Linked DNA regions of Sus scrofa. The protein of the gene in region 1 interacts with the protein of each later gene in a pairwise test. Links are inferred from orthologs where the notes say so. Each region holds a gene or a part of one and is shown on either strand. Other genes may lie near its edges.

Evidence for each region.
Region 2: the proteins of UBE2I (region 1) and HIPK2 interact in a two-hybrid assay, tested with the Homo sapiens proteins (5 studies listed by BioGRID and IntAct). The link is inferred for Sus scrofa from reciprocal best matches to the Homo sapiens genes UBE2I and HIPK2.
Region 3: the proteins of UBE2I (region 1) and ZBED1 interact in a two-hybrid assay, tested with the Homo sapiens proteins (4 studies listed by BioGRID and IntAct). The link is inferred for Sus scrofa from reciprocal best matches to the Homo sapiens genes UBE2I and ZBED1.
Region 4: the proteins of UBE2I (region 1) and TRIM21 interact in a two-hybrid assay, tested with the Homo sapiens proteins (2 studies listed by BioGRID). The two-hybrid records come from large-scale screens. The link is inferred for Sus scrofa from reciprocal best matches to the Homo sapiens genes UBE2I and TRIM21.
Region 5: the proteins of UBE2I (region 1) and SIAH2 interact in a two-hybrid assay, tested with the Homo sapiens proteins (3 studies listed by BioGRID and IntAct). The link is inferred for Sus scrofa from reciprocal best matches to the Homo sapiens genes UBE2I and SIAH2.
Region 6: the proteins of UBE2I (region 1) and SIAH1 interact in a two-hybrid assay, tested with the Homo sapiens proteins (2 studies listed by BioGRID). The link is inferred for Sus scrofa from reciprocal best matches to the Homo sapiens genes UBE2I and SIAH1.
Region 7: the proteins of UBE2I (region 1) and RNF40 interact in a two-hybrid assay, tested with the Homo sapiens proteins (2 studies listed by BioGRID). The two-hybrid records come from large-scale screens. The link is inferred for Sus scrofa from reciprocal best matches to the Homo sapiens genes UBE2I and RNF40.

What each region holds. Positions count from the first base shown.
Region 1 is NC_010445.4:40,566,142-40,570,271, forward strand, and holds the start of UBE2I (SUMO-conjugating enzyme UBC9), read right to left. Parts: upstream 2,801-4,130; 5' UTR 2,681-2,800; intron 1-2,680. UniProt on the Homo sapiens protein: Accepts the ubiquitin-like proteins SUMO1, SUMO2, SUMO3, SUMO4 and SUMO1P1/SUMO5 from the UBLE1A-UBLE1B E1 complex and catalyzes their covalent attachment to other proteins with the help of an E3 ligase such as RANBP2, CBX4 and ZNF451.
Region 2 is NC_010460.4:10,080,968-10,084,467, reverse strand, and holds part of HIPK2 (homeodomain-interacting protein kinase 2), read right to left. Parts: intron 1,952-3,500; coding exon 1,828-1,951; intron 1,548-1,827; coding exon 1,428-1,547; intron 1-1,427.
Region 3 is NW_018085344.1:633,006-636,940, reverse strand, and holds the start of ZBED1 (zinc finger BED domain-containing protein 1), read left to right. Parts: upstream 1-1,135; 5' UTR 1,136-1,209; coding exon of another isoform or gene 1,210-1,318; intron 1,319-1,546; exon of another isoform or gene 1,547-1,764; intron 1,765-3,935. Other genes in the region: dehydrogenase/reductase SDR family member on chromosome X, read left to right, coding at 1,210-1,318.
Region 4 is NC_010451.4:5,780,894-5,784,932, forward strand, and holds the start of TRIM21 (E3 ubiquitin-protein ligase TRIM21), read left to right. Parts: upstream 1-1,239; 5' UTR 1,240-1,386; intron 1,387-1,413; exon of another isoform or gene 1,414-1,620; intron 1,621-2,382; 5' UTR 2,383-2,428; coding exon 2,429-2,836; intron 2,837-3,339; coding exon 3,340-3,435; intron 3,436-4,039. UniProt on the Homo sapiens protein: E3 ubiquitin-protein ligase whose activity is dependent on E2 enzymes, UBE2D1, UBE2D2, UBE2E1 and UBE2E2.
Region 5 is NC_010455.5:90,968,739-90,972,800, forward strand, and holds the start of SIAH2 (E3 ubiquitin-protein ligase SIAH2), read right to left. Parts: upstream 2,801-4,062; 5' UTR 2,350-2,800; coding exon 1,933-2,349; intron 1-1,932. UniProt on the Homo sapiens protein: E3 ubiquitin-protein ligase that mediates ubiquitination and subsequent proteasomal degradation of target proteins.
Region 6 is NC_010448.4:36,359,366-36,363,359, reverse strand, and holds the start of SIAH1 (E3 ubiquitin-protein ligase SIAH1), read right to left. Parts: upstream 2,801-3,994; 5' UTR 2,118-2,800; coding exon 2,027-2,117; intron 518-2,026; exon of another isoform or gene 455-517; coding exon of another isoform or gene 370-454; intron 1-369. UniProt on the Homo sapiens protein: E3 ubiquitin-protein ligase that mediates ubiquitination and subsequent proteasomal degradation of target proteins.
Region 7 is NC_010445.4:17,633,191-17,637,456, forward strand, and holds the start of RNF40 (E3 ubiquitin-protein ligase BRE1B), read right to left. Parts: upstream 2,801-4,266; 5' UTR 2,669-2,800; intron 2,560-2,668; 5' UTR 2,489-2,559; coding exon 2,357-2,488; intron 1,972-2,356; coding exon 1,804-1,971; intron 1,670-1,803; coding exon 1,528-1,669; intron 1-1,527. Other genes in the region: CCDC189 (coiled-coil domain-containing protein 189), read left to right, coding at 3,256-3,471, 3,774-3,805, 4,134-4,199.

The DNA.
Region 1 (4,130 bases):
GTTTGTTACCACTGAGCCACAATGGGAACTCCCCGCCTGGGATCTGTCTGTTCACACAACACAAACTGAGGAGAGACAGAGTTGTGGCTGTGCAGAAGGCCCACGCAGGAGGAAGACGTGTGCTGGGAAGTGCTAGGTGCCAGGACACAGGAAGCAGGACGATGGCAGGGAGGCACCCGGTCCTACAGGGTCAGGTGCCCGCGTGGGCACAAGCTGCAGCAATGCAAGGGACTGTTCCAGGCGGGCTCACCAGGAACAGAAAGAAGAGCCAGGAGGGTCACTGGCTGCGAGGGCCAGGGACCGCCCAAGGGAGGCGGGGGCAGTGACCCCGAGTCTGAAAAGCTTTCCTTCCCTTGACTGCCTCCAACCCTTCACTTTTTTTGGTCTTTTTTTAGAGCTGCACCTGTGGCATATGGAGGTTCCCAAGCTAGGGGTTAAATTGGAGCTGTAGCCGCTGGCCGACACCACAGCTCAGCAACGCCAGCTCCTTAACCCACTGAGCCGGGCCGGGGACCGAACCTGCATCCTCCGGGATACTAGTCGGGTTTGTTAACCTCTGAGCCGGGACGGGAACTCCCCAACCCTTCACTTCTAAACAGAACCCTGCCCCACCCACTCCAGCAGCTAGTGGGGCTGCCCCTCCCGCAGGGCTTGAGGAATCTGGAGGGTCTCTGCAGCCCCTGGGCAGCCAGGGCAAAGGCGGCAGCAGGCGGACACGTCTGAATTAACGGAGGCAGGAGTCCAGCAAGCGGCTGCTCCCCGTGAGTCTGCACCTGGCCAGGCGCTGACCATGGGTCATGAAGGCCCAGGGCACCACTGTGGACACTGAGGAGCCATGGATACTAAATGGGCAACTGAGGCTGCTCGGGGAGGAGGGCAGGGGTCACGGCTTGTCCAGGATGCAGACCAGGCCAGGGGGGCCATCCTGAGTGCTGCCTGCCTGCTGACCGTGCGCCAGCACCCGGCCACAGGCCACCTCTTCTGCTGACAAGGGACAAAGTTGCCTCTGCAGGCTGTCCCAGAGCCCAGCTGTGGCTGCGCCAAAGGTAATGGGGGGGGTCCCACAGGAACTCCTGCCTCCCCTTCCTCAGGGGTGCCAGGGGACCAGACCAGGCAACAAAAGGGTGAAGAGCCACAGGCCCAGGCAGAGAGGCCTGGCCTTCCCTTATCCGGGAGAAAGCACCCAATTTGTTACATTTTAATGACAAGGGGAGCTACTCCTTCAGAATCCCACTTAAAATTAAATCTGCCTTCCCCAACCAAGAGTCACCCGAAGCAGCTGAATGTTAGCAGACACTCCAGAGATGGACATTGTTAGGATGCAAGGATGAAATACCCACGAACCGCTAGCCTGCAGGACAGCAGCTGGGATGTCCAGGCAGATTCTGGAAGTCTCCACGCCACCTTCCTCCAGAGTGAGCTGTGCCTGAATCCCCTCTTCTTAGATCACACGCTGCGATTTGACAGCAAAGCCTGCAGAGCCACTAACTGGCTGCACATGCGGGCGAGATGCTTCTCTCTCCCAGCCTCAGCCTTCTCAGCTGTGCGATAAGCCACAGCACTGTGAACTCACGGGTTGGCCCAGGGTGAAAGTGAGCAAGGATCAGCAGCCCAGGATGGGCCCTTCCCACCCAAACATCAGCTTCCCAGGGGGAAGGCATTTGCTTCACCTGATGCAGGCACCCTGCACTCGGGAGACTCTCCAGCCCAGGTGCACGCCCTGTTCTTGCCCGTTTCTGCAGCCAGGCCCCAAATCCCGAGCAAGACTATCGCAACAAGATGCAGAGTTCACCCCCTAAACCACCCGGCGGGCCATGAGCAAGTCAGGGAAAACTTGGGATCCACTCCCCTCTTCTGGTGGGAAGACTTCCAACCCAAAAAGTTTTCCTTAGTAGCAAGAAACGTTTGAGGTTAGGGGTCTGGAAAGGGCACCAACTCTGCAAACACAGAACAACAACTTTGCAACCCGAGGAACTAAGCTTGTTTTCAAACCACACAAACCAAACCAGTGAATTCTGTGATTGAGAGGCAGGTGCAGGCCGTTACCGCGAGCCCAGCTAATCATTCTCTGGCCTTCCTGCTCCTGGCTCAACTACCACTTCCAGCCTCCGTGCACTTGGTACAAAGCAGTCCCAGGAGGAAAATTCCCCGTCAAAGGAAGCGCGGGTGCCCAGGGTCCCACCAACTGCGGCCGAGGCTCCGGAGGCGCAAGAACTCGGACTTGTTTTGATTTACAGACACCACACACCACCCCCAAACGGGCCGGCGCTGCCGCAGCGCGAGGCTTTGCGCTCTTTGTGCGATGCGTCGTCTCCAGGGCTGGCACACGCCACAGGTTCGCGCGCAGACCGTGACCCCGGAAACGCTCCGCCTCGGCGGAGGGCTCGGCGCCCGCTCGCGCTCCTGTCAGCGCAGCCCGAGCGGCGGGCGCCGTCTGCGGCCCGGCCGCGATGCGACCCGCCCCGAGCGCGCGCCCGAGTGGACGCCCCCGCCGTCTGGGGCCGCGGAGCCCAGCGGGCCGGCCCACGCCGCGGCGTCAACACACCGGGGCAGGCCGGTTCCCGGGAGCGGGCCCGGCCGGGCCGCGGGTGGAGGGAGCCCGCCTGGCCGGGCCCGACGGCGGCGGAGGCCCCAGCCCGACAAGGCCCGGTCCCCGGCCCGCCCGTCTCGCCGCGCTCACCTCGGGCGGCCGCGGCCCGGCGAGTGAGGCGGACGAGGCGGCGGCGGCGGCGGCGGCGGCGGCGCTCCTTTGTCTCGGGACTTCCCTCCCGAGCCCGCTCCGCGCGCAGCCCGAGCGCTCGAGGACCCCGGCGCGGGCGGGGCGGGGCGGGGCCTGCGGAGTCTGCCCGCCGCGCGCCTGCCCCGCGCCCCGCCGCTGCCGCCGCACGCCCCGCGCCGTCCACGTCGCTGTGCGCCGCCCGCCGCCCGTGCCCCGCCGCCGGGCGCCCGCGCCCCGGGCCAGGCCTGGGAGCCCAGCCCCGGGGGCGGCTTTCCAGTCAGGCGGCGCCCTGGACACCTGTGCCCTTAAAGGAGCCGCGTCCCTTATGTGAGGGAGCGTCTGCAAACTCCCCTTCGCGGGGCCCGCGTCTATCCGAGGACACGCCGGCGTGCGGCGGGGCAACCAGGAGGCCGAGATCTCCAAGGGCCCCCCGGATGCCCCGCGGGCACCTCCCCGGGCACGGGTCCTGGAGGTCTCCTTGGGGCTAGGGCCCGGGGCCGGGGAGCAAAGATCATTGAGGCCTAGGGATCCCCGAAGCGTCGCAGCACGGTGACAACCCCTCGCGCGCGGCAGGCCGTGAAACTCCTTGCAATTGGCCAGTTCGGGGCTCAGGGCGGGGCGTCTGCCGAATCTGCCCAATGAGCTGACCCCGTACAAAAGGTAGCGTGGCTGCCCGACCGATGGGAGGAGAAGAGCGGACGCTCCCTAACCCAGGGCTGGCCCTGGGGGAATGAAAGGGAAAACCTGACATTACTAATGGAAAACCTCTCCAACTGCAAGTTCTGCTTCTGTAAGCCCCGCTTGCTCAGCGCCCCCCCATGATCATGTGACCACTAACAGACCCACACCTAAAGCTGGAACATTCCCTGCCGCCGGCTCCTCCAGTTCCCACTCCGGTCCACCCCTCCAAGCGTGGACCCAGAAGAACTGGCCTGTAAAAGCCTGTAGCACCCCTGTTCGGGGCCTGGGTTCTGGAGAGCAATCTTCCCCAGGCCGGCCGGGTATGAGAGCTAAATTCTCCTCCTCTCCCAGTGTCGCTTGGTTTCTCGCTGGTCGGTGCTGCACGTGGAGCTGTAACATTTCTGGAGGCCCCAGCGAGACCCCAACCGTTCTGGCCCTTTGAGCCACCGGGGCTGCGGTGAAGCTGCAGGAAGGCTGGGGAGCTCCGGAGGCGAACGAGGCGGTGCTCCACCCGACGGTATTTCGGGTCCTCCTTCGTGGCGGTGCTCCAGTCCTCCCAATGGCCGAACCCCAACCGGACTCGGTGGAGAGACGGACCAACTCCCAAGCAAGACTAGTTAAAGCTCCGGAATAAGGTAAGGCCCCGAGGCCAGTCCCCGTCAGGTCCTGCCTACTGGCAGAAGAGGAGACCTACGTCTTCCAGTCTGACGACCCCAGGAAGGGACCTCCC
Region 2 (3,500 bases), on another chromosome or scaffold:
AAACCCTACAGCGTCTGCCTCTCCCAACAGGAAAGAAGCAAAAGACTTGCCCACCTTTTGGAAGAGACTTGAGTGACCTGCATCCTACTTACTTTCTTTTCTTTTCTTTCTTTCTTTTTTTTTTTTTTTTTTTTTTTTTTTTTGTCTTTTTGCCTTTTTCTAGGGCCTTCCCCGCGGCACATGGAGGTTCCCAGGCTAGGGGTCGAATCGGAGCTGTAGCTGCTGGCCTACACCACAGCCACAGCAACGCCAGATCTGAGCCGCATCTGCGACCTACACCACAGCTCATGGCAACACAGGATCCTCAACCCACTGAGCAAGGCCAGGGATCGAACCCGCAACCTCATGGTTCCTAGTTGGATTCGTTAACCACTGAGCCACGACGGGAACTCCTGCATCCTACTTACTTTCTCTCGTTGTGCTCCACACTAACTCACTCATCCTTCTTCTTTCCTTCCCGTGAACAGCTCTGAGTCTGGTCTGGAGGGTCCCCAGATGAGCAAGATATGCCATATCCCCGCTAAGCTGACTTTCTTCCCCAAGTTCAAGGGATAAGGTCAGATTCCACAGGTGGAAGAGCAGAAGCCCTTTTCTGCATGGTTTGATTTTTAAATTTAATTTATCAAACTCACCCTCACAGATGCCAAAGGCCAGCCTCCGGTCAACAGTCTAAGATGCTTGCTTAGCTTTTGAATCTCTTTTCCTAACTCTTTTGCAACCACTGGCTACATATTATCTTTAAATGTATTATAGTTTGGCTGTGGTTTCAGTCAAAAAAACAAAACAAAACAAAAAAACAAAACAAAAAAACCACCCACCCACATCCTTGCAAAAAAAGGAAGCACCTAAAATGAATATAAAACACCCTTAAGATCTGCATTATTTTCTCCTTCCCAGGAAAAAAAAAAAGTTAATTTTAATTACGAGGCACAGATCAAAGTGAAAGCAAAAAATGTTTCCGTTAGAGTCAAACCACGGGGTTTACGGTGTGCAATGGGGCGGCCACACCACCTGCCCGCTGGGGGACCCCCTCCCGGGAGCCTTCAGATGCAGCTAAGGCTGTTTCCTCTGCCTGGAAGGCCCTCTTCATCCTTTAGGGCCCCCTCCAAGGCTCCTCCTGACCCTCTGTCACCTCGGGTTAAAGGCGCCCTCCTCCGGGCTCCCACCCTCCTGCGCTCCTGCTGGGAACAGGACGCGGGTCACGGGAAGGGGGCTGGGCTGGCTGCACGGGTTCGGCCTCCCTCTGGACTGGCAGCTCCTTCAGGGCGAGGGGATGGTTCATGTTTCCGGCTCGGAACCCACCAGATCTTGGGAGGTGCGCCCTCAGAGGCAGAAGGCCAAAGGCAGCAGGGCCGGCCAAGCGGGGCTCCTGAGCATTCGAATGCATCCGCCCCGTGGCCGAATCCAAGGGAGAGTCTCCTACCTACCTTCAGCCGCCACAAAGGATAGGGCGAGTCGGTGTCACGGTTGAAAAACCGAGTTGTCTTTGTCCCTGCGCTTAATAAATATTCTGCTGGCAAACCCTGTGTTTGTGAAATATACCGAATCTGCAAGAAAAGAGGAGAATGAAGTCAGGGCTTTTCCTGTCACCACACACGGGGTGGACGAATGGCTCTAGTGCCTCTGAGAAAAATGACACTTTTCTAAGGATGGAGAGGAGCCATCAGAGGAAAAGGGAAAAGAAAGGCGGATAAAGGGAAGCAAGGCGAAGGGCTGCAAGGCTGGGGAGACGGGAAAATACCCCACACTCCCATCCATCCGCCAGGTCGGGAGCGAGGTGCTGATGTGGACAGGGCCTGCGCCAATACCGGTGCCGTGTGGACCCACCTGATCGTACTCTGAAGCCCCTGGATACAGCGGCCAGCCCAGGAACAGCTCCGCTATGACACAGCCCAGGGACCACATATCAATTGCCTCACAAAATGGTAAACCAAGGATGATCTCAGGGGCCCTGAAAAGGAAGAATGGAAAAAAAAAAAATCATGAGCGATGCGGAAATGTGGGCAGCTATGTGTATGGGAATTCCACAGAAAATCCAAGCTTTCAAGCCTGGGGTACCACGCCTGACCCCTTCGAGGGCCTGTCATTCTCACGCCGGGTTGCCACAGTCCCTGCATCCTTTGGCCTGGTCCTCCCAACAGCAGGGAGCCTGGCTGGATGGTTGGCTGAGATAAAGGGTTGGTCTGTGGCTCTAGAACAGACCCAGAGGGAACCACATCTCTTGATCTCATCACCATGACATGCCAGCCAGGTGAGCGAATACCACTTCATGGAGCGCAGTTCTCTTTTGTAGCTGAAAACCTGGGAACCAATCTCTAGACAATGCCTCGTTTTTGGAAAGGAATTCTGAAGGACAGGTATTCGATTTTCAATAATACATAAAACAAGCGTCCTCCGCCAGAAGAGAATTAAAGCCAATAACCGGTCATGCCAACAAACCCTCCCTTAGGAATTTGCATCGCCCTTTCCCAAGGAAATACTATTTTTTTTAGGAGCTTCTAAGAAGTCAACCTAAAAAGGTCTCTATTACAATGACAGAACCCTATTCCTGACACATACTTTGGGTATCAGTCAGAATTCCATGCTAAGCTCTTTCCCAACCATAGAAATTCTGTTCCTTCACATGATAAACCAGGTTACATGCTGGAATTTCTGAAGGAAATCACCTAAACTCAAAGGGAAAATGTCGCATGTGGTTGGTAATCAAAACCGGAGGTCACAGAGTTCTCCTTTTCTAGGAACTGGTCATGATTAGCTAGGGTTACATTTTGGAGAAAACCACGCTTCAAAGGTCGAGGCAACACCAGATTCTTAACCCACCGAGCAGGGCTAGGGATGCAGTAAATGCTTTTTAAAAAAATGAGGCTCGAAGCACTCTGCTGATACAGAAACGCACCGGCCCCACTCCGGTTTTCTCTATGAACTGCCTCCTTGATTCAGCGATGCAGGAAGAAACTATTCTCCTACCCTTTCAGCGGCCTGGAGTGGGGGTGCAGGGAGCCGGGGGACTTTTCTCCATCTGGGTTATCTTGGCTCATCTAGCATACGAGGAGGGACGGAAGGGCTTGGGGCTCTTAGCTGAAGTTCCCCCTGCTTCCAAAGCATCACCCCAGCTGCTGCTTTAAATTGGCTCTCGCTGCCCATCTTTTTTTCTCTGCAGAGTGGTATTGAAAAAAACAAGACAAACCCCACACCCCCATCCATCCGCCAGGATGCCAGAATGTCTTGTTTCAAAGTCTTCTGATTTTTCCGATGTAAAAAGGCGTTTCTCCACTTGGAGCTGGAGCGTCAGCACAGCTGCCGGGTGCTTCTAGGGAACCACAGTCACGTTCTGGGCAGCGAGCACTTGTCCTGAAGCCCAGGGCTGGGTCTTCCCAGGCTTCCGAGGTGCTGCAGAAGGTGGGGTGCGAGTGGCCTCAGGGCTGTTTAATGGGTCTTCCCTGTCGCCGTCCCCCCGCTGTGGGGCATCTTCCGTTGCCAGTGTTCTGCCTGGCATCTGG
Region 3 (3,935 bases), on another chromosome or scaffold:
GGTCTCTGGCGCAGGGGTGGCCTGCAGTCCCGGTGGGGTCCCTGGACCAGGGGTCTGTAGTCCCAGGGTGGATCTGAGTGATGGTCCTGGGGTCTGTGCGGGGGCTCAAGGTGAGGGCGGGGCTTCCCTGGGTCTCCTGTCAGCACAGGGGCACATGATCTGGGTGGGGGGGGTCCATAGTTCTGTGTCCTGGGGTCCAGGAGGGGGAACCCTGGGGTCTGGGGTCAGGTGGGATCCCAGGATCCAGGCAGGAGTCATGGTCCGGGCTGGGTCCTTGGGTCTGGTGGGGCACTGACAGACAAGCAGGGGTCCCTGGGGTCTGCAGTTTAGGTGGGGGTCTGGGAAGGGGGTCTCTGGGGTCCATGGTCCTGGAGGGGGTCTGGGGTCCCGGGTCAGGCAGAGTTGGAGGGGGGTTCCCTGGCATCCACAGTTTGGGTGAGGGTCTGGGGGGATCCCTGGGGGTCTGTGGTCCTAGTGGGGGTCTGGGGTCCCGGGTCAGCCAGGGTTCAGGTTCAGAGCAGGACCCCCTGGGGTCCGCAGTTTGGATGGGGTTCCGGGGTCGGGAGTGGAGGTGGGGGATCCCTGGGGTCCGTGGTCCTGGAGGGGGCTCTGGGGGGGGTCTCTGGGGTCTGGGGTCCTGGTCAGCCGGGCTCCAGGGTCTGAGCGGGGGCTCCTGTGGTCCTCAGTTTGGGTGGGGGTCGGGGGTCTGGGGGGGGTCCCTGGGGTCCATGATCCTGGAGGGAGTCTGGGGGTCCCGGGTCAGGCGGGGTCAGGGGTCAGAGCGGGCGTCCCTGGGGTCCGCAGTTTGGGTGGGGGTCGGGAGGCTGGGGTCCCAGGGGTCTGTGGTCCTGGTGGGGGTCTGGGGTCCCGGTCAGGGAAGCTACGGGGTCCGAGCGGGGGCTCCTGGGGTCCTCGGTTTGGGTGGGGGTCTGGGGTCTGGGGGGGGTCCCTGGGGTCCATGATCCTGGAGGGAGTCTGGGGGTCCCGGGTCAGGCGGGGTCAGGGGTCAGAGCGGGCGTCCTTGGGGTCTGCAGTTTGGGTGGGGGGCCGGGGTCGCGGGTCAGGCGGGGGCGGGGGTCGGCGCGGGGCCGGCGGGCTGGCGGGCGGGCGCGCGGGCGCGGGGGGCGGGCCGCTGCGGGCGCGTTTCCGCCGTCCGGCCGGGCGAGCGCCGAGTCCCGCGGGCGGCGCGGAAGCGGCGGCCGGGCAGCCATGTCGCCTTTGTCTGCGGCGCGGGCGGCCCTGCGGGTCTACGCGGCGGGCGCGGCGGTGATCCTGGCGCAGCTGCTGCGCCGCTGCCGCGGGGGCTTCGCGGAGCCAGGTCAGCGGCCGGGGGCGGGCGGGCGGGGTCGGGGCGCGGGGCCGGCGGGTGGCTCGCGGCGGCGGCGGCGGCGGCGATGGCGGCGGCGGCTCCGGGCCCGGGCGGTGCGTCCCCCGCGGGGCGCAGCCCCCGAGGCGGGGGCAGAGCGGGGGAGGGGCGCGCCCGGGCCCCGCGTGCCCTTGACCGCGGCCTGGGCCCGTGCGCGGCGCCGGGCGCTCCCGGAAGCAGGGCCGGGCGGCCGCGGGGGTGGAGGGCGGGTCGCCCCGCCCGCCGCTCCTCCCCGCGCGCCCGAGGCCGGGGTCTCCCTGCGGTGTCGCGCGCCCCGACCCACCCAGCCGGGCCGGGCCAGGGTCCTCGGGGTCCCCAGGGTCCCGCGCGCCTGCCCCGCAGCTCCCCGCCCGGAGGGAGGAGGGCGCGCCGAGAGCCCGGCCTCCGCGCAGGGTCAGGTAGGACGGGCTCCGGGGGGCGTGCGGGGCCCGGGGGGGCCTCGGGGGCAGGGCCCTTCGCTTCAGGGGCACCTTGCTTCTGCGGCCTTAGCGACCTGCGCCCGCGGCGTCTGCGACCCCGAACTTTCCGGTGTCGGGACCGGTTCGCGCTCCGAGCGCTGCTGGGGGGCCCGCGAGGCGCTGTGTGGCCGGGGCCGCGTCGGCTCCCGTTGGCGCGCCTGGGACTTCAGCCGCAGACCCGGAGCGTTCCTGTCTGCCCTGATTTGCAAAGGAAGCAGGATAACGCCAGGCTCTGCGAGCATACGTGGCTTTTTATTTTTAGATGAACAGTAACTCCTTCCCAAACAGAGGGGTCGGTGGGGAGTGCGGTGCTGTGTTACTTTGTGGCCGCCTTTGGCGTGTGGCCTAAGGTGAGAAATCCTCGGAGGTCCGCTTCTGTTTCCACGCGGTTGGCACCGCCCGCCGCCTGTCTCTGGCACACACCCCTGGGCACCCCTGAGAGACTGGGGTGCAAACAGGCCAAGTGCATCTGACTGTGGCTGTGAAAAATACTTTAAATCCCTCCACCGCCCCACGCATGGGGGTGCCTGCGGCCCCACTTTGCAAACCTGCAGCTCTGCGCCCCACAGATAATTTTTTTTGGCGCCCCACCCTCCCCGTGGGGTGGAGACTTAGGGAACTCTTCCAGGTGTGCATGTGACAGAAGCGTTTCGTTTTACTGTCAACCTGATTTCTCATTCTTTCTTTCTTTTTTTTTAAACGCTTTGAGAGCGATTAGAATGGAATAGAGCGAGTCCCCGCTGTGGCGCATCGGGATTGTGGCGTCTCACGGGGAGGCAGGTTCGATCCCCAGCCTGGCACAGTGGGTTAAGGGGTCTGGCGCTGCTGCAGCTTTGGCCGTGGTCCCCGAGATCGGATCCCCGGCCTCCATATGCTGCCGGGTGGCCAAAAAAAAGAAAAAGGTATTTATTTTGGAGTTCCTGTTCTGGCTTAGCAGGTTCATTGCTGGAGGTTTCAGATATTTCTGTGAGAATCGGGTTCCATCTCTGGCACAGCTCAGTGGGTTAAGGATCCGACGTGGCCCTGAGCTGCAGCTGCAGCTCGGATCCGAGCCATAGCCTGGGAATGTCCATAGGCTGCCGGTGCAGTAGTAAAAAGAAAAACACACTTGAATTGAGAGTAAGGAGCCAGCCAGTACCTGGGGTTTGGGGCGGGGGCGGGGGGATGGGGGGTACAGGCAGAGGACACCTTTTAAATCAGGCCTGGCCTGTAAATAGTAAACAACGTTGGAAAGCTGTCCCAAGTGGCCCCCATTGACCCAAAGGGTGGCACCCCCCCGCCCCACGGGACAAGGTAGGCGGCTGGCTGTGCAGCTTTGCTCCCCCTGCGTGCCTCGCGCCCCTTCGGGGCAGGCTCTTCACCTGCTCAGGGACCTGGCAAGTGGAGGGTGGAATTGGAGCTTGCCACACCCCATTCCCCAGAAGGCCCGTCTCAAAAACGTGTTTGTGGTGCATCCAAACCAGGCCTTGCCTTGTTGTTTCCACCTGTTGATTTAGAAAAAGAGCAGAAAAGCCTGTAACCGGACCCACTGGGGACCAAGCGGTGTGTGGGCGGAGTGAAGCCTTCCTCCTGCTGGAGCAGAGGGTCAGCTCCGTTTAAGAGGAACTGGACGAGCTCTGCAAGCCACGTGGTCTGTTGGGTTAGAAATCCTTGCAGAGCTGGGGGGAGCCAGGCACGTGTGTCCTGAGTGTCTGGTGGTGGCCCTTGTCCCACATGTCACAGTCCTTCTGCTTTTTGACCTTTTTTTTTTTGCTAACTGGACGTAACTTTTGGCAAGGAGACATTGAACGTTGCCCCAGGTGGAGCTGAGCAGTAGCAGGCCCAGTCCACATGAAGCATAGCTGGGGGTTGTTTGGTTTTGTTTTAAACCTCAGAGGTTTTCTGGAGTTCCTCTTGTGGCTCGGTGGGTTAAGACTCCGACTAGGATCCATGAGGACGCGGGTTCTGTCCCTGGCCTCGATCTGTGGGTTAAGGATCCGGCGTTGCCACGAGCTGTGGGGTAGGTCACAGGTGCTGCTCGGATCTGGTGTGGCTGCGGCGAAGGGGCCGACAGCTGTAGCTCCCGTTCAACCCCTAGCCCTGGGACTTCCATATGCTGCAGGTGCGGCTCT
Region 4 (4,039 bases), on another chromosome or scaffold:
GACAATAACTCAACTGCTAAGTCGCTGCGTGGCTTAAAGCAAACAACCTGACACAGCAGTATTAACCCTAACCCTAACCAGTAGGCGGAAGCCACCCACCCCAAGCATCCGTCGACAGATAACCGGATAATCAAAATGAATACTCAGACGCTGGAATATCGCTCAGCCTTAAAAGGAAGGCAGTCCTGTCACCGGCTCCGGTGGATGAACCTTGAGGATCTCAGGTTATGTGAAATACACCAGTCACAAAGGGACAAATACGGTAGGATGCCACTTACGTAAGGCACCGAAAACGTCAAACTCACAGAGACAGAGAACAGAATGGTGGTTGCCAGGGGCTGAGGGGAGGGAGGAATGGGAAACTATTGTTTAATGGGGGCAGAGTTCACGTTTCGCAAGATCAAAGTTCTGTGTGTGGATAGTGTGACGGTCATACAATAATGTGAATGCATTTAATGCCACGCAACTAGACACTTACAAATGGCTAAGATGGTGAATGCTATGTGTATTTTGCTGCAAATTTTAAAATTGATAATAATAAACCTGAGAAAACCCCTAGCTCAGTGAGAAGTTTACAGTTGGTGCTCAATAAATGTCAGGCCCCTTCGTCCCACTCCCTGGTGTGATACCCACCTTGGAGAAATGCAGGAAAAAAATCCCTCTCTCCCCAATGTTAATTACCGCATCTCCTAAAAAGAATTTTTTCCTGAAGTAGGAGAGAGAAACTGGCCTTTTTTTTTTTTTTTTTTTTTTTTTTGCTTTTCAGGAACACACTTGTGGCATATGGAGGTTCCCAGGCTAGGGATCAAATAAGAGCTACAGGGGACGGCCTTCAACCACAGCCACAGCCACACCAGATCCCAGCGGCGCCTGAAACCTACACCACCGCTCACCGAAAGGTCAGATCCTTAACGCACTGAGCGAGGCCAGGGATGGAACCCACATCCTCATGGATCCTAGTCGGGTTGGTTAACCACTGAGCCATGAAGGGAACTCCCTAGAGACGGTGGCCTTTGTGGGAGAGCTCCCCCGAGCTCCTTCGGTCACCCCAAACTCCTTAAGGCAGCTCTGGGTGGCACGGTACGGAGGCTGGGGCTAAGCACCCGAGTCAAAGAGAGCAGCCTCTCCACGGAGCAGTCACACTACTTGAGGCCACTAGACAGAGAGACTTGGAAAGGAGCGCAAAGCAAGGACTGGATGCTGCGGAGCCTCTGAGCCATCCTAGCCCCGGGGCGCTGACACTGGCCGAAGCTCAACGCGCCCGCCTCCCGCCTTCCGCCTCCGCCCCTTCCCTCCCCTTCCTTTCAGACTTGCGCTCGACGGGAAATGCGGGAAATCGAAAGTGAAACTTGGAGCCAGCTATTATCTGCGGAGTCCCTTGAAAAGGTGAGTGGATTCACGAACTCGGTTAGACCCGGGTACCCCAGGCCTCCCCGGGGGACCGCTCTCCGCTGCCCCGGATCTGAAGAGCCCCTTGCAGCCGAGCTCTCTGCTGCCCCAGAGCCCTCTTGGGCGCAGGGTTCCCTCGACCCTAACCGGCGGTTTTCCCCGTGCTGCCGTCCGCCCGGGAGGAGGCTGGGCTGTGAACCGACTTCCAAGTCCTCCGGAGCCCAGGGCGGGGTAGGCCTGCCATCCCCGAGACGCCCATCCACAAAAGTCCCCTCTGGAAACGACAGGGGCAGGGTTGCTTAGGGTATTAGAAGTTTTGGGGTCTGTGCCCTGGAGGAAACAAAGACAGGTGCCTGCTTCAGGAAGCTGAGGGAACAGGTGGGGGAGTGCTCTTTAGACATGTGTGGGTGTGTGGGTGTGTCTGTGTGTGTGTACACACATAGGTATGTACACCTGCACATATGGATAAATATGTGCACGTGCAGATGTGTGTGTATATATATACTTATTTATATGTTCATATTGTGGGTGATAGATAGCTCCTTCCTGCCAAGTTTCAGGGATTAATGAGGAGGAATGTGAAGTATGTGCCTCCCGGCACGGGGGAAGGGGCATGGTAAGTGGTCGCTGCTATTAGGATTAGCTTCTCAGCAGAGCAAGAGGACCAGTGGCTGGAGATGGAAGATGGACGAGTAAGCCTGGGCGCCGAGGGTTTCAGCAGAGATAGACATGAAAGTGGAACTGTAAGCAGCTTGATCTCAGATTCCCAGCAATTTTTGCTATCTCTTTTGAGGACTCAGTTTCCCCTTCTGTCTGACTGGCTCATTGGACCAGACTCCGGAGGAGAAGCCCTTGTGACTCAGGTTGACGTCGTTGTTACCTTTGTTTTCAGCCCCTCCAGTTCACGCTCCCTCGAGGTCTCCTTTGAATTGTTCTGTTTTCCTCACACAGCTCTTCTCATCGCCTTCTTTCCTTTTCTCCCCTCCCCGCTAGGCCACCCCGAGATCTCCTCAGCGCTGCTTCATAGCCCGGCAGCACCATGGCCTCAGCACTGCCCTTGGCAAGGATGTGGGATGAGGTCACGTGCTCCATCTGCCTGGATCCCATGGTGGAGCCCGTGAGCATCGAATGTGGCCACAGCTTCTGCCAGGAATGCATCTCCGAGGTTGGGAAGGATGGGGGCAGCGTCTGTCCTGTGTGCCGGCAGCACTTCCTGCTCAGGAACCTCCGGCCCAATCGGCAGGTGGCCAACATGGTGGATAACCTCAAAGAGATGAGCCAGGGGGTCAAGGAAGGCCCGCAGTGGGAGCTGTGTGCGGTGCACGGAGAGAAGCTTCACCTGTTCTGTAAGGACGATGGGAAGGTCCTTTGCTGGGTGTGTTCCCAGTCCCGGAAACACCGGGACCACACCATGGTCCCCATTGAGGAGGCGGCTCAGGAGTACCAGGTGAGGCCTTAGCCCGGAGGCACCTGGGCACGAGCAGGCGGGAAGAAGGTGGGGCCCTGATAAGCGCTTTGTTCTCCCGGGCTGGGGGTGGGACCGAGTCACCTGTGGAGTTGAGGGGTTGGGGACAGGAAGGGGATCCCCTGCCTTCTATGTCCTATTTAAGGGAAGACCCACCATCTCGGCACGATTTTCCCACTGCCCAGGAGCAGGGCGTCTGTTGTGGGAAAAGGCTGCAAGGCCCATGCTTCTGTGTGGCCTCCTGGTTAATTAGGAACGAATGTGTCCCCACCCCCACCACGCCAACAGGGTACCTCTATTTCCTAAGAAACATCAGGCTTTTTCCAGAGTCTTCCCATCACAGAATGCCCACCCCGGTCAGAGGCTCACCCTTCCTCCTCCCCGCCTCAGGCTTTTCTAAGGACCAGTAGGATCCTCCTGGACCTTGTGCCCCCCCACCCTACTTTTTGGTCTGACTGGGCATTACCCGCTGTCTTTCTCTGCAGGAGAAGCTCCAGGTGGCACTCGAGAAACTCAGAAATAAACAGGAGCAGGCTGAGAAGCTGGAAGCGGATATTGCAACGAAGAGAGCAGCCTGGAAGGCAAGGGGCACGTCCTGAAGGGCACTTTAGATCAGAAGCCTGGGGAGGGTCCAGGGTCCTGGCCTCGAGAGCTCTGTGCATAGCTATGCCCGTCAGGAGACTGGGAGTCCCCATGTGTCAGTCTCCAAAAACCAGCCGTGCCCTGGGTCTCCTGAGAGAAGGGAGCAGGAAAGCACGGTGCCCAAAAGGCGGGCACTCCAGTCAGACGCAAAGACAGGGGGTCTTGGGGAGAATGCACGGGGACAAGACGGACCCCAAAGCTCCTGTTCCTGGAGCCCGGTCTCAGGCGATGACAGCACAGGGCCCGTGTCTGCAACAGAGGAGTCCCAGGAAGGAATGCCCGGTGGCTCGGCCTGTCGGGACATGACAAGGGCTCTGAGGACAGACTTAAGGAGCCATCAAGGCCTGAGGGAGGAAAACCAGCCTGACCAGGGGTTTCTTGACGGCGTGCTGTTCCTGGTGCAAGGTGTCGCGGGAGCTACGGCCTGTTCTGCTCCAGGGCTTGGGCAGCAGTGGGTCAGGAACTAGAGACAGTGGGAGGAGCTCATGGACCCGGGAAGGGTGAGTCAGGCTGTGGCGGCAAGAGAGGTCATCTCGTGTCATC
Region 5 (4,062 bases), on another chromosome or scaffold:
GTAGGCCGGCAACTGCAGTTCTGATTTGACCTCCAGCCTGGGAACTTCCATATGTGGCAGGTGCGGCCCTAAAAAGCAAAAAATAAAAAAAATAAAAATATTAGGGATAGCTGAATCAAATGCTCTTTTGTGAACTGTAATTCATCTAAAGGCATTTCTTCTCTTGGCCACTGAAGGTTCAGGGGAAAGTGAAGGGTGGAGAAGATGGCTCCCCAGAAACCCTGTGGGGCATCCCCCACCTCCTCACCCAGCCCCTACAATATAGTTCAAACCTCAAATTCAAACCTCTTATGTCACCTATCACCAAATCTTCTCATGATCACTAGGTTCCCACGTTTTCATGACCCTAAGAAAATTCTACAACTATTTTGTCTAAATTTCATGACAAACTACTACTAGACTGGGGAATTAGTAAGCATTACATGAGGAGTGGTTGAAAGCAGAATAATTTATTAAGGCTGATGAAAAACCCCAAACATGGATTCAGACCCTTATTTGAGTATGCTATTTTAAACTTGACTTGTGGCAGGGCACAGACCAAATTAAATCACTCATTTTACTGACTTAAGTCCCAGCCTTCAGTTCTCTAGTGGATTATTTTTAATTTAAAAATAAGCTCTTGTCCTATAAAAGTAAGCAGCACCAAGGAGAAACGCAATACAGCCTAAATGGCCCAAGAGGCAGAGTGCTCACTTTTACAAACAAACAAACAAACCCTCAAAAGTATTAACGACATTAAGTTTAGAAGAAGAACTTTATGGTCAACATTCTACATTATAATGAGGTAATATAGATAGGTATTTCTCTGAAATGGCTCCTGAAGATTTTTAAGTAACAAGACATTACCATATGACCACACAATGCTGTATTATACAGCCTCTAAAATACAGTGAGGTAGAGCTATGTTTCAGACATAGAAAAACACGATGATATGAAGTTAAGACAGCAAGTTGAAGAAGCCATTTTTGGAGAAACACTTATGTCTGTGTGTGCATATATAAACCTTCCCACACTGACATCTAGGGTTCTAGGGTTCTATATTCAGCTGCGGAGAGTATATTTATATATGGTTAGAAAAAGCCTATGAAGATGCACACTAAACCTGACACTGGTGGGAGAGGAGGTGAGAGGTCTTGGTCTTTCACTTGTTTTTTCTTGTCTTAGTAGTTGGCTTTTTCTTTTTTTTTTTCAAGAGCATGGATAACTTTTTAAACTGAATAAAAAATAAACCAATGTTCTTTAAAGAACTGTAACAGCTCCTGAATGCCCTTCCTGTTAAATTCCTGATCAACTCTTGTTTTCACCCCTTAGTAAAAAACAAAACAAAACACAAAACTCTGAAGGCTAGGAGAGGGAAAGGCATGGCTTAGAGGGTTTTCTTATTGTTGGAGGAAAACAGGCTATAGGTACCCTTTTTTTAGCCTCATTCCGGAGGGCTCCCACGTGTCAGGGGTGTGCAAAAGGCTCCCATGTGTCAGGGGTGCGCAAAACCATGCAGGAGGAATCTAGTACCACTCCTTCCAAGGCCAGTGCTGGTAAAGGGTGCGTTTAGTTTACCCTTTTCCCCTTCTTCAATCCCTCACAGATGGTCAGCTTCCCGATCCAAGTTTTACTTGAGCGGCCCAGCTCTACCAAGCACACCCAAGTACACGTCTGCAGAGTACGCAGGCTCCCGGTGGGAGAGCTGTGATGTGTTCGAACAGCGATCGCGTGCCAGTTAGGCTGGGGTCAGTGATCGGGCAGCTGTCACCCCAAAGCTACTCCCAAAGTGGACAGGTGGGCATGGGGGAGGGTGGACAAGGTGTAAACTTTTGTTGTTGTTGTTGTTAAAATAAGAGAGATGCCGCCTGCCTCCCAGCGCCTGCGAGTGGTTTGGAGGATAAGGGAGTTTCAGGTCGCCGGGAAAAGTGCGCAGCTGGCACCTGAGCTTACCTTGCAGGGAAACAGGACTGCCGAGGCCACCTTCTCCATAGCCAGGTTCCTGATGCTGGGCGTCAGGGCGCCCCTGCACGTCGGGCAGCAGCTCAACTTCTGGCGGCATTGGTTACACACCAGGTGCCCGGCCTGGCACTGCAGGATTGGGGGCAAGACATAGTCAAAGCAGACCGGGCACTCAAAGAGCGAGGTCAGCTCGTGGTGCTGCGGGGACACCGGGCCAGCCCCGCCGCCGCCTCCGGGGCCCGAGATCACCGCCGCCGCGGCGGGCACCGCGGACGAGCCGGGGCCCGCAGCCGAGATGGTGGCGGCGGCCGGGGGCGCAGCCGGGGACGGAGCGTGCTGGGGCTGCGGCGGCGGCTGCTTGTTGCAGGGTTTGTTAGCGCTGGGGCCGGTGGAGGACGGGCGGCTCATCGCGCTCTGAACCAACCATGGAACTGCGGGCGCCTGCCTGCCGCGGGGCCGCCGGGGTCAAGGCGGTGCGCGCCCCGCGGGCGGCGGGCTCCGGGGCAACGCCACCGCGCCCAGCCCAGGACCAAGCAGTGAAGACAGTCGGCGCCGGGCAGGCGGGGGACTGGACCACGCCGACGATCTCTGCGGCCCCGGGAGCTCCGAACTCCCCTCCGCACCCCCAGACTCCTCCTCCCCGCGGCGTCGTGGCCCCAAAGCCGAGCTGTACGCAGAACCTCGGCCCACCCGCTACCGGAGCAGCAGCTGACGCAAGCCCCGGGGGCGCGCGCGGACGTGACGCCTGGACACGTGTGAGGCCGCCCAGGCGCGCGGGGACTGGCGGAGCCACCCTGCGCTGGGGCGCCGGCTCCGCCCGACTCCAGCTGGCAGCGCCGGGGGCCGCCTAGCGCGGGCGCTTCCTGCCAGGGCTGCCGGCCCGGCCCGCGCCAGTGAGCATGCCCGACTCGCCGCCGCCGCCGCGCGGGATCTGCCTTTCCGGGTTGCGGAGGGGGCCGCCCTTCAGAAAGGCGTCGCTGAAGTCCTTTAGCCACACCCCGGGGAGACACGCTGACGCGTCCCGCGGGCGCAAACCAGAAGGGCAACTTTAGGCGGGGCTGGGGCTTGAGTGGTGGGCGGGGCGGGACGCGGGCGTCCTTGGACTGGTCGGAAAAAAACGAGAGGTTAGTTACGCTTTCCCGGGTTGAGTCAGCAGAGAGCTGAGAAGGCGTGCGGCGCCGCCAACCTGGCACTTAGGATGGAGCTCTGGGTCGAGACACGGAGCTTTAGGCATGGAGCAGGACGAGGGGCTTGGATCAGGTCTGCAGCGGCGCAGGATCTAGCGCTGGGCGCTTAAGGATGTGTTTGAACCACTTCTTGGTCCTGCTGCCTAAGGCGGGGAGGAGGTAAACTATTCCTGTTGTCATCTGACCTGCCGAAGCCTTCGTTGAATTCAAAGCATCTGACTTGCTGGCAGGCCCGGGAGGCAGTTCGTGGTCAGTGTTTGCTAAAAAGAGAGTTCGAGATTGCCAGATTCTAGGAGTGCCAGAAATGTGGCTTGGGTCTTGAAACACGCGACGACAGTGGGTGACCCCCTCCAATACAACACAGCCTCATCTTTGAGACCCGTCAGAAGTGCACAACTTTGATGCAAGATGTGGGTACTCGTTTTGCACGCCAAGCCGAAGCCTTAGAGAAGGGTGGTAGCCTGGAGGGAACCACGAGTTAATGTGTACTGAGTTAAATTGCTTTTCTGCTTACTTCGAGCCCCTGACCTTGGAACTGGGGGAAGGGGCTACGTAGCTGGGAATCAGGCGATTCCTTGCAGGAGAGACAGTGGTAAGGAACAACAGTCAGGCCTGGGTGAAGAGCGGTGTCCTCCGCTTACCATCTGTGTGACTTTGGACAAGTTCTTTATTTCTCTGCGTCTCAATTTCCTTATTTGAAAAAGTGGAATAAAAACAGTACCTCTCTAGGAGTCCCTGCAGTGGCACACTGGGTTAAGAATTCCACTGCAGTGGCTCCCGTGGCTGGGGAGGTGTATGTTTGGTCCCGGTGGGGCAGTGGGTTAAAGGATCCTGTATTGTCCTGCTGCATCCTAGGTCGCAGCTGCAGCTCGGACTCAGTCCCTGGCATAGCATAAAGGATGCAAGGGTGCAACGAAAAAAAAAAAAAATCACC
Region 6 (3,994 bases), on another chromosome or scaffold:
GTGTAGGCCGGTGGCTACAGCTCCGATTCAACCCCTGGCCTGGGAACCTCCATATGCCGCGGGAGCGGCCCAAGAAATAGCAACAACAACAACAACAGACAAAAAGACAAAAAAATAAAAAAAAATAAAAAAAAAAAATGTTAAAAATCATACTTGGATGGACTACGTGGAATAAATGCTAAAATAGAAACTGGACCATAAACAAGAAGGAGCTTAAGTGCAATAAAATCAGTTTTGACTGGACTTTCTCCCCCACCTCCCCTACTCATTCTGAGTCAGCTGTTACATGTGCTCCAGGGAGTTACATGTGATCCAAAGGATCACCAGGGTACTGACTTTGATTAATTCCTCCTAATGATGAACGGTTACCTGCTCTAGGAGTAATTTGGGGAATGAAAGGGGCGACAAGGGGAAGGGTCTGCTGCCATCCCACCATCCACCTCCTCTTCATCATCCATCTTCATGGAAAGTTAACACCAGCTAGGAATTAATCTTGTTTCCTACTGATCCATGCCCCCTTCAAAAGTGAGAAAGTAGAAGAGAAATGGAGGGCCATCCTCTCATAAAAGTTCTGAGTCCAGTATTTAGACACAGTAAATCATTCTACTTCCATTCTACAATATAAACCAGTATAATTTGCAAAGGTGAAGGAGAGTCAAGAAAATAAAGATCAAAAGCACCAGAGAGACTCACACAACAGTGGAGGTGAGGGATAGAGTCAACAGGTAAAGAATGCCTCGTACCCTAAAGTTCACCAGTGTTGCTGAAGCATTCATCAGCACACCAATAAACACTATTTATGAAATAAATGCCATCTGGAAGAAATGATCAACAATGTTAACTATGTGTCAGGGTGAATGAAAGATAAACTAGCAGCTTTTCCCAGGAATCTACCTTTGCTGGGATACGGTAGGCCATTTTCTTGGGGATGACAAAAGATCAGTCTACGGACGTCCTTAAGAGTATATTCCCAAGAACCCTAAGCCATATTTCTATCAAACTAAAATTTAACTCTTCAGATTTCATATTTTCCCTAACTGTAATTATTCTATCGGAAAGATCACTGTCACTAAAGGACTAAAGTTCAAGGAGAAACAAAAGTACCACAGGATTCTATCATAATGTGGCCCATCACAAGGATTTAAGACAACAGGAATCAATTCTTACCATCTGAAGCCCTGTGTAACCCAGGTGTTCTAGACCAATATAAAGGAACTCTCCTGTAATCCAGTTTTCCCCAGGAGATTTTTTTGTGCATATGATGATCTATGCATTTTATTTTAGGTCACTAGCAGAACAATGGGCTTAGCATTACCAAAATGCCCTGTATGTGTGCTGTATGCTTACTTCATAGTCCATTTTATGCTGCTTATTTTAAGAGAGCAACGTAGTAACTGGGAAGTGGTTCCTTCAGCACAAAATGATCTAAGCCACCAATGCCTTTCAATTCACTACGCCAAAACAACAAATCGCGTCAGGAGGCAGTAAACTCAGTTTGTATTCAACATAATATAACTACTAAGCAAGCAAAGCATTACTGTTTAATTTCTTGACCTAGGAAAATAGTTACACATTTATCATCAATAGTTCAGACTTATGATATAACACATATTTATTATTTTTCCAAACACTGTAGAAAAAGCACGATTTAAATTCCTATTCAAAGTGTGAAAAGCAAGCAAAATGTAGCTTGTAATTCTTATGAATGAAAGTATTACAGGACAGCAGCTGCTAAAACCTCCCAAAGCTCAGAAGATGGAACCCAGCTCCATCTTCAAACAGAAAAGGAATCCTAAGAACACAGCAGACCTGCAGTAGGAATCAAGGATTCAAGTGTCTGGACAACCCTGGAGGAGTCATTGCATAACCTGAAGTTTGTTTTAAACTGAGAAAAGTAGAGCTGCTCAAAAGAAACATCTCCAGCTCAATTACGCTGCAGCCATTCCCTGATCCATTCAAATTCCACCAGCTTATAACAACTTGCCCAATTCACAATTTAAGCAACCCAGTCTCTTAACAGTAATACCTTTTCTCTTCCTTGTCCCGGATGCTGGTAAACAAGTGAGCAAGACGCCCCTCCAGGAGTACAGAAAAGGTAAGGGAGACTTCCCGGTCATGAGAAGCCAGGCAGCTCATAGCCTTTCCCCCACGAATAGAGACTATTTGTAACAGAGGGCCCTACTGGACACCTTCCGTTCCTAAATTTGTCCAGGGTCAACTTTTCAAGACAGGAAGGCACGTGCCATGCCCCATACACTCCATTCACTCCTCAGAAGCACCGGCTACAGCGGCAGAGAAATGAAGCACCCTCCCGCCCCGAGAGGAGTCGACCACACCTCCCCATGAGCTCAAATTCGCCTGCGTCTCCAAAAATGGGAGCCATTGCTGAGCTGTCCTCTGCTGGGCCCTAAACCTTCGTCTGTCTCCCAAGTTTGTCTTCCCAAATTCATCGGCTAGGCTCTGGCCAGCTCGGTGAAGGACAGGGCTGGAGAGTGCGCAGCAGCGACTGGACGAAGCGGTGCAGCTCTCAGTCCCAGCTCTGGAGCTACCGCTGCAGGGTCCGGCCCGCGGGGAGAGCCATTTGGAGGCCTGGGCCGGGCTGCCGCTGGGAGAGCCTGCTCCAACGCAGATTGCCAGCCGGCCGAAGGCTCAAAGCACTCAGGGCGGTGGCTGCCGCGGCAGGAGAGGGGCGGGCCGGCGCATGGAGGCGGGGCTGCAAGCTCCGCCCCACTCGGCCTAGGGCGGCTCCAGGGCTCGCAGTCGCTCCTGCACGGCTCTGGCAAGAATCCCGAGCATGCAGCGCGCAACTCCCACACAGCTACCCAGCTCCGCAGAACCTCGCGATCCCCGGAGACATACCGCACGCCTCAGCTTTTCCACCGGCTTACGTGAGGTGGAAACACTCCGTTTCAGTAGGCCCAAACAGTCGGATATCGCAATTTGGGGTGGTTTCATAGCGCTACATAGAATATATGGAAAATACGTGGCCAGACAAGCACTCTTCTCTGCTCTATACTCTGCCAGTTAACCGTGCAAACTCCGGATTTTTATATAGCAAAAGCATTTGTCTACTTCATTAACTATTTATCAGATGTCAACTACCTTATTTCCTCAATTCTAACTCACTTCTCCATTTTTACCGCCGTCAGCACCTTATTTCAAACTTCCTTTCTCGATTCGAGAAGCCGTCGCAGTGAGAGTCGTAAACACATAACCATATTAAACTTCTACTTCAACGTCCAAATTGAGATTTTATTCTCTTCCCACTCTGGGAAAGCCATCTTAAACGCCCTCATTAAACAAAATAGCTTGTTTTGTTTTTAAACAAGCATTACCCTTGTCCCAATAAAGTCCTGGGCCTCAGATTCTCATTGCGTCAGCTCCAGCATTCAGAGGTTTAACCTGTCATTACATCACGCTTAGGGCAGCCTTTAAAGGGAGCAAGAGCTTGTAGTGGAGAGTGAACCCTGTGTAAATTGTAGATTGTCCATTTTCAGCATAAAATTTTAATTCAAATCACTTCCCCATCCTATTAATAGTATTCAGTCACCTCAGTCTCATTTTGATATTAGACAAAACATCATTAGGAACTGAAACATAACTGAAAATATAATCTGTCCACGGACAAATCTAAATTATTATTACCAATGTCTTTATTTTTTAATACATATTCACTCTAGCTAGGTGTTGGGTTTCTAAAGTAGAAGACTTTTAAATGTTTTAGGCAGAAAAACTCTTTCCAAACAGTATGAAGACAGAGTCCAAATTTGTAAAACAAGTAAAAAGGATGACAAATTCCTCAAACTAAAAAGTTTTTTTCCTCCAACTTCCAAAGGACCTGTATTGAAGCTTACAACACTGTCTGAAAACCATTAATCTATGGACACATTTCTCAGTAAGTCAGTCACGACAGTAAAAATGGAAGAGTTCCGGAGTCATCTACACTGGGATTCAAACCCAGCTTTCACCACCTACTCAACTGTAAAATCAGAAC
Region 7 (4,266 bases), about 23 Mb from region 1:
ATCCCATCTTAAAAAGGCAACAACTGGAGTTCCCATCATGGCGCAGCGGAAATGAATCCAACTAGGAACCATATAGGAACCATAAGGTTGAGGGTTTGATACCTGGCCTCGCTCAGTGGGCTAAGGATCCGGCATTGCCGTGAGCTGTGGTGTAGGTCGCAGATGCCGCGTGGATCTGGCGTTGCTATAGCTCCAATTGGACCCCTAGCCTGGAAACCTCCATGTGCCGTGGGTGTGGCCCTAAAAATAAAAAAATAAAAAAAAAAAAAAAAAAAAAAGGCAACGACTGAGGTTCCAGGAGGTAATTTCCTCAAGGACGGAGAGCTTCCAAACATTTCCTCAGAAATGCCTTCTCTGCCTTCCCAAACTAAATTAGTGCACACATACACACACACAAAAAAAGGAGTTCCCGTCGTGGCACAGTGGTTAACGAATCCGACTAGGAACCATGAGGTTGCGGGTTCGGTCCCTGCCCTTGCTCAGTGGGTTAATGATCCGGCATTGCCGTGAGCTGTGGTGTAGGTTGCAGACACGGCTCGGATCCCGCGTTGCTGTGGCTCTGGCATAGGCTGGTGGCTACAGCTCCGATTCAACCCCTAGCCTGGGAACCTCCATATGCCGTGGGAGCGGCCCAAGAAATAGCAACAATAACAACAACAACAAAAAAGACAAAAGACAAAAATAAATAAATAAATAAATAAATTAGTGCACACATACCAATTCCCATTCAGGAGCCCTTCTGCTTTTATGTGTGTGTGTGGTTTACAGTCACTTTCACCCTAATAGCTAAGACAGTGTTTCTTTTCCTTTTTTTTTTTTTCCCAGCCACACCCACGGCATGCAAAAGTTCCCAGGCCAGGATTCGAACTCATCCACACAGTGACAGTGCCAATCCTTAACCCACTGAGCCACCAGGGAACTCCCAGTAATTTTTTTTTTTTTAACTATCTTTGTCTCCTCCAAATCTACACCAGTGCCAAGTACACAGTCATAATACAAATACATGTAATACTTTTAAAACCTGAATTGGGAGTTCCCGTCGTGGCGCAGTGGTTAACGAATCCGACTAGGAACCATGAGGTTGCGGGTTCGGTCCCTGCCCTTGCTCAGTGGGTTAACGATCCGGCGTTGCCGTGAGCTGTGGTGGAGGTTGCAGATGCGGCTCGGATCCCGCGTTGCTGTGGCTCTGGCGTAGGCCGGTGGCTACAGCTCCGATTCAACCCCTAGCCTGGGAACCTCCATATGCCGCGGGAGTGGCCCAAGAAATAGCAACAACAACAACAAAAAGACAAAAAGACAAAAAAAATAAATAAATAAAACCTGAATTGTACTCTTAACCAAGTCATTCAGATTCCAAAGTCTCTGTTCTTATCCACTGTGATTTGCTGCCCAAATATAAAATCAATTGTGTGTGTGTGTGTTTGTATAGGCAGGGAATTCAGCAGCCTGATTATCAAGATCCTTTCCTCTCCAGGACCTTTCCCAGAACTTAATTAAGCTTCCTAGATCCTAGGGTTCTGGCCCTACCCCTCAGCTCCGATGTTCCTGGCTCTGTGAGAGGGGTCTCATCACGCGTTGGCCCTTCCTGGGTCCCAGGCGCCTCTGGCCCTGAAGACAGCTCCCCCTGGCTCTCATGGTGTCGGAGAAGGGCTTCCACAGTTTCATCCAGCTGAAAGGAGAAAGCACCAAAAATGTTAGGAATCCCTCAGGTGCTTCCTAGCATGATACTCCCTTTCTAACAGAGAAGTCTGAGAACTGGCAGCTGGATCAAAGCCCAGTCTTGTAAAGGAGAGGGGCATTCACCTGGGCCCAGTAGCGATTGACAATGAGGAGTGTGGCATCATCTGTAGCCTGCCTCTTCTCCAGTTTCTCAATTCGTTCTCGGAGTTCATCTTCACAAGCCTGTCTCTGTTCCAATCGCTCTGCTAGTTTCTTGTTCTTGAACTGCAGAACCTTCAGGTCCATCTCCTCCTACCAAGGAAACAGAGGGGCCGAGGAGAGAGAGGGTCAAGAAGGGCCCAAGAAACCAATCAGAGAAAGAGACAAAGGAAAGCAGATAGAACGGATGTGAGAGGGGAGCAGACTGCTAACAGGACATACAAAGCTCAGACACCCACGGAGGAAGCGTCTTGTTTGTAAGGAGCGTCACGTTCTGCTCCTGCCTCTTTCTACCTGAAGTCTGACATGTCTGTCACACGCTCTCTGGGAACCTGTTTGCCTATCTGCGAGGGGAAGGCAGACGTCATGTCCTAGGTTTCCTTCAACAGAATGCTCTGTAAAGTGGATCTGGTTAAACTTGGGGAACTGGGAAAACGGTTCTGGGAAGTTGGGCGGGCTGGGGCAGGAGCCCACGAACCGTGGAAGAGATGCCCCCAAGACGAATGGGCTCTATAAGCGTTGTTGTTGTCTTCTCCTCGCGGTTCAGCTTCTTCTCTGGGGGCCCCGAGCCCCCATCGCCGGCGGCGCGTTTGTTGCCGGGCCCAGACATGGCCGCGGCGGCGAGGAGCGGCCCCCGGTCTCTCGAGGACGTCAGGCAGGCGGACTCGGCACTTCCGTCACCTGCAGAAGACAGAGAGTAGAGCTGGGGAAGGGGACGGAGGTCCGCAGCCACGAGCCTACCCCCGCACACAGCTGCCGGACCCCGCCCCGCCGGCCCCGGGCCCCTCACCAGCAGCAGGATCAGCCTAGCGCCGCCATCTTGGACTTCACCGGACGTCACTGGGCACCCCCGCCCCCCAGCACAGAGCGCAGGCGCCAGAGGCAGCGCCGGATGTGGCGAAATCTTCTCCAGTTCCTGTTTCTATTGGTTGTGCTTTGTTCCTCCTCTTGCGTCCGTTTGGTTTCTTTCTGAACACCTCCTCTTTCTCTCAGTGATTGGCCGGTAGGCAGTTGCCATGGTAACTGACAACACACTTCCACTCCGCAGTCCTAATAACGCCGCCTGCCTCAGATTAACAACTTCGAAGAGAGGGCACCGGGGCGGGGTTTGCATCTTATTATGCATGCGCATTCTCTTCTCACAGTTTGGCGAGCACGGTACACTTTCTCCCTTCCTACTGGATCCTCCTTAGCAACCGTCACCGTTGAGACGGAGGGACGCCCCCAGCCGATTGGCTGTACCCGGCCTCTCTGCAGCGTAGATTGGCTGAAGCGTCGATAAGGGCCAGGCCTTGGCAGTCGCCGCCCGAGATCGGCTGTCCCAGAACCGAGGCAGGATAAAGACGGTGGGGACCCGCGACACAGAGGAGCGACCAGATGATCCGCCGGAAATCCAGCCAATTCCGGCGACTGAAAAGGCGGTCGGAGCTGGACCAGCACTCCGAACTGCGGCGAGAACATGAGAAAGACCATGAGAAGGACCTCAGCTCGTTGGATGAATCGGCCAAGAGGATGGGAACAGGAGTGCGGACCGAGTCAGGGACCGTGGCCTCAGTGGATGCGAATGAAGATCCTGCAGCCAACTTGTTCCCGGTGAGGACAGGTCAGAGTGGTCTGCTCATGAATGTTTATAAAAGGGCTCCCAGGCAGGGGGCCGTTTGTTTCCCGGGCTGCCTTGGTGAAGAGGCAGGCTTGAACTGCTTGTCAATACGCTCATGAATAGTACTTAGGGATCGCCGAAGCCCAGCCCGCCGGTATTGCTAGTACACAGTTTTTAAGATGAGAAGGCAAGGTATCGCGTTGTTAGACCACCAGAGATTCACCAAGGGCAAAGAACCACGGGCCAGGACTAACAACGCAGCTCTGCCTTTCCCAATCCGCTTTCTCTCCCGCAGCCGCCGCTACCCCAGCCCCGGATCTGCATATGGTGAGTGTGAAGAGCTTTGAGGGAAAGTTACCCTTCACACTTGTATTATTCCTTTAGCGCTTCCTTACGAGCCTGTCAAACAGGACGGAATTCCCATTTTACAGACAAGGAGACTGAGGCCCAGAGATACAATTACCCAAGATGACTATAAGCCAGGTCTCCCGCTGCCTCAGTGACTTTGTTATAAAGTTACACAGCGAGTTAGTGGAAGAGCCAAACCTCTTAACTCAGGTCTCTTGCTTCCCAGTCCTACGCTCTAGCCATCATAGCCTTGTCCTAAGACTAATGCATAATGGCCAACACCTTTTCCCCTCTTTTCCTATGATAGGAAGTACCTCGACATCCATTCCATGCAGAGGCTGGAGAAGACAACCAACGTGGAGGAGATGAGGGAGTATGGCGGGGAGTAGGGACAGGAAGAACTGGCTCTTGGAGAAGGCTGAGGCAGTGGGCTGGGAAGG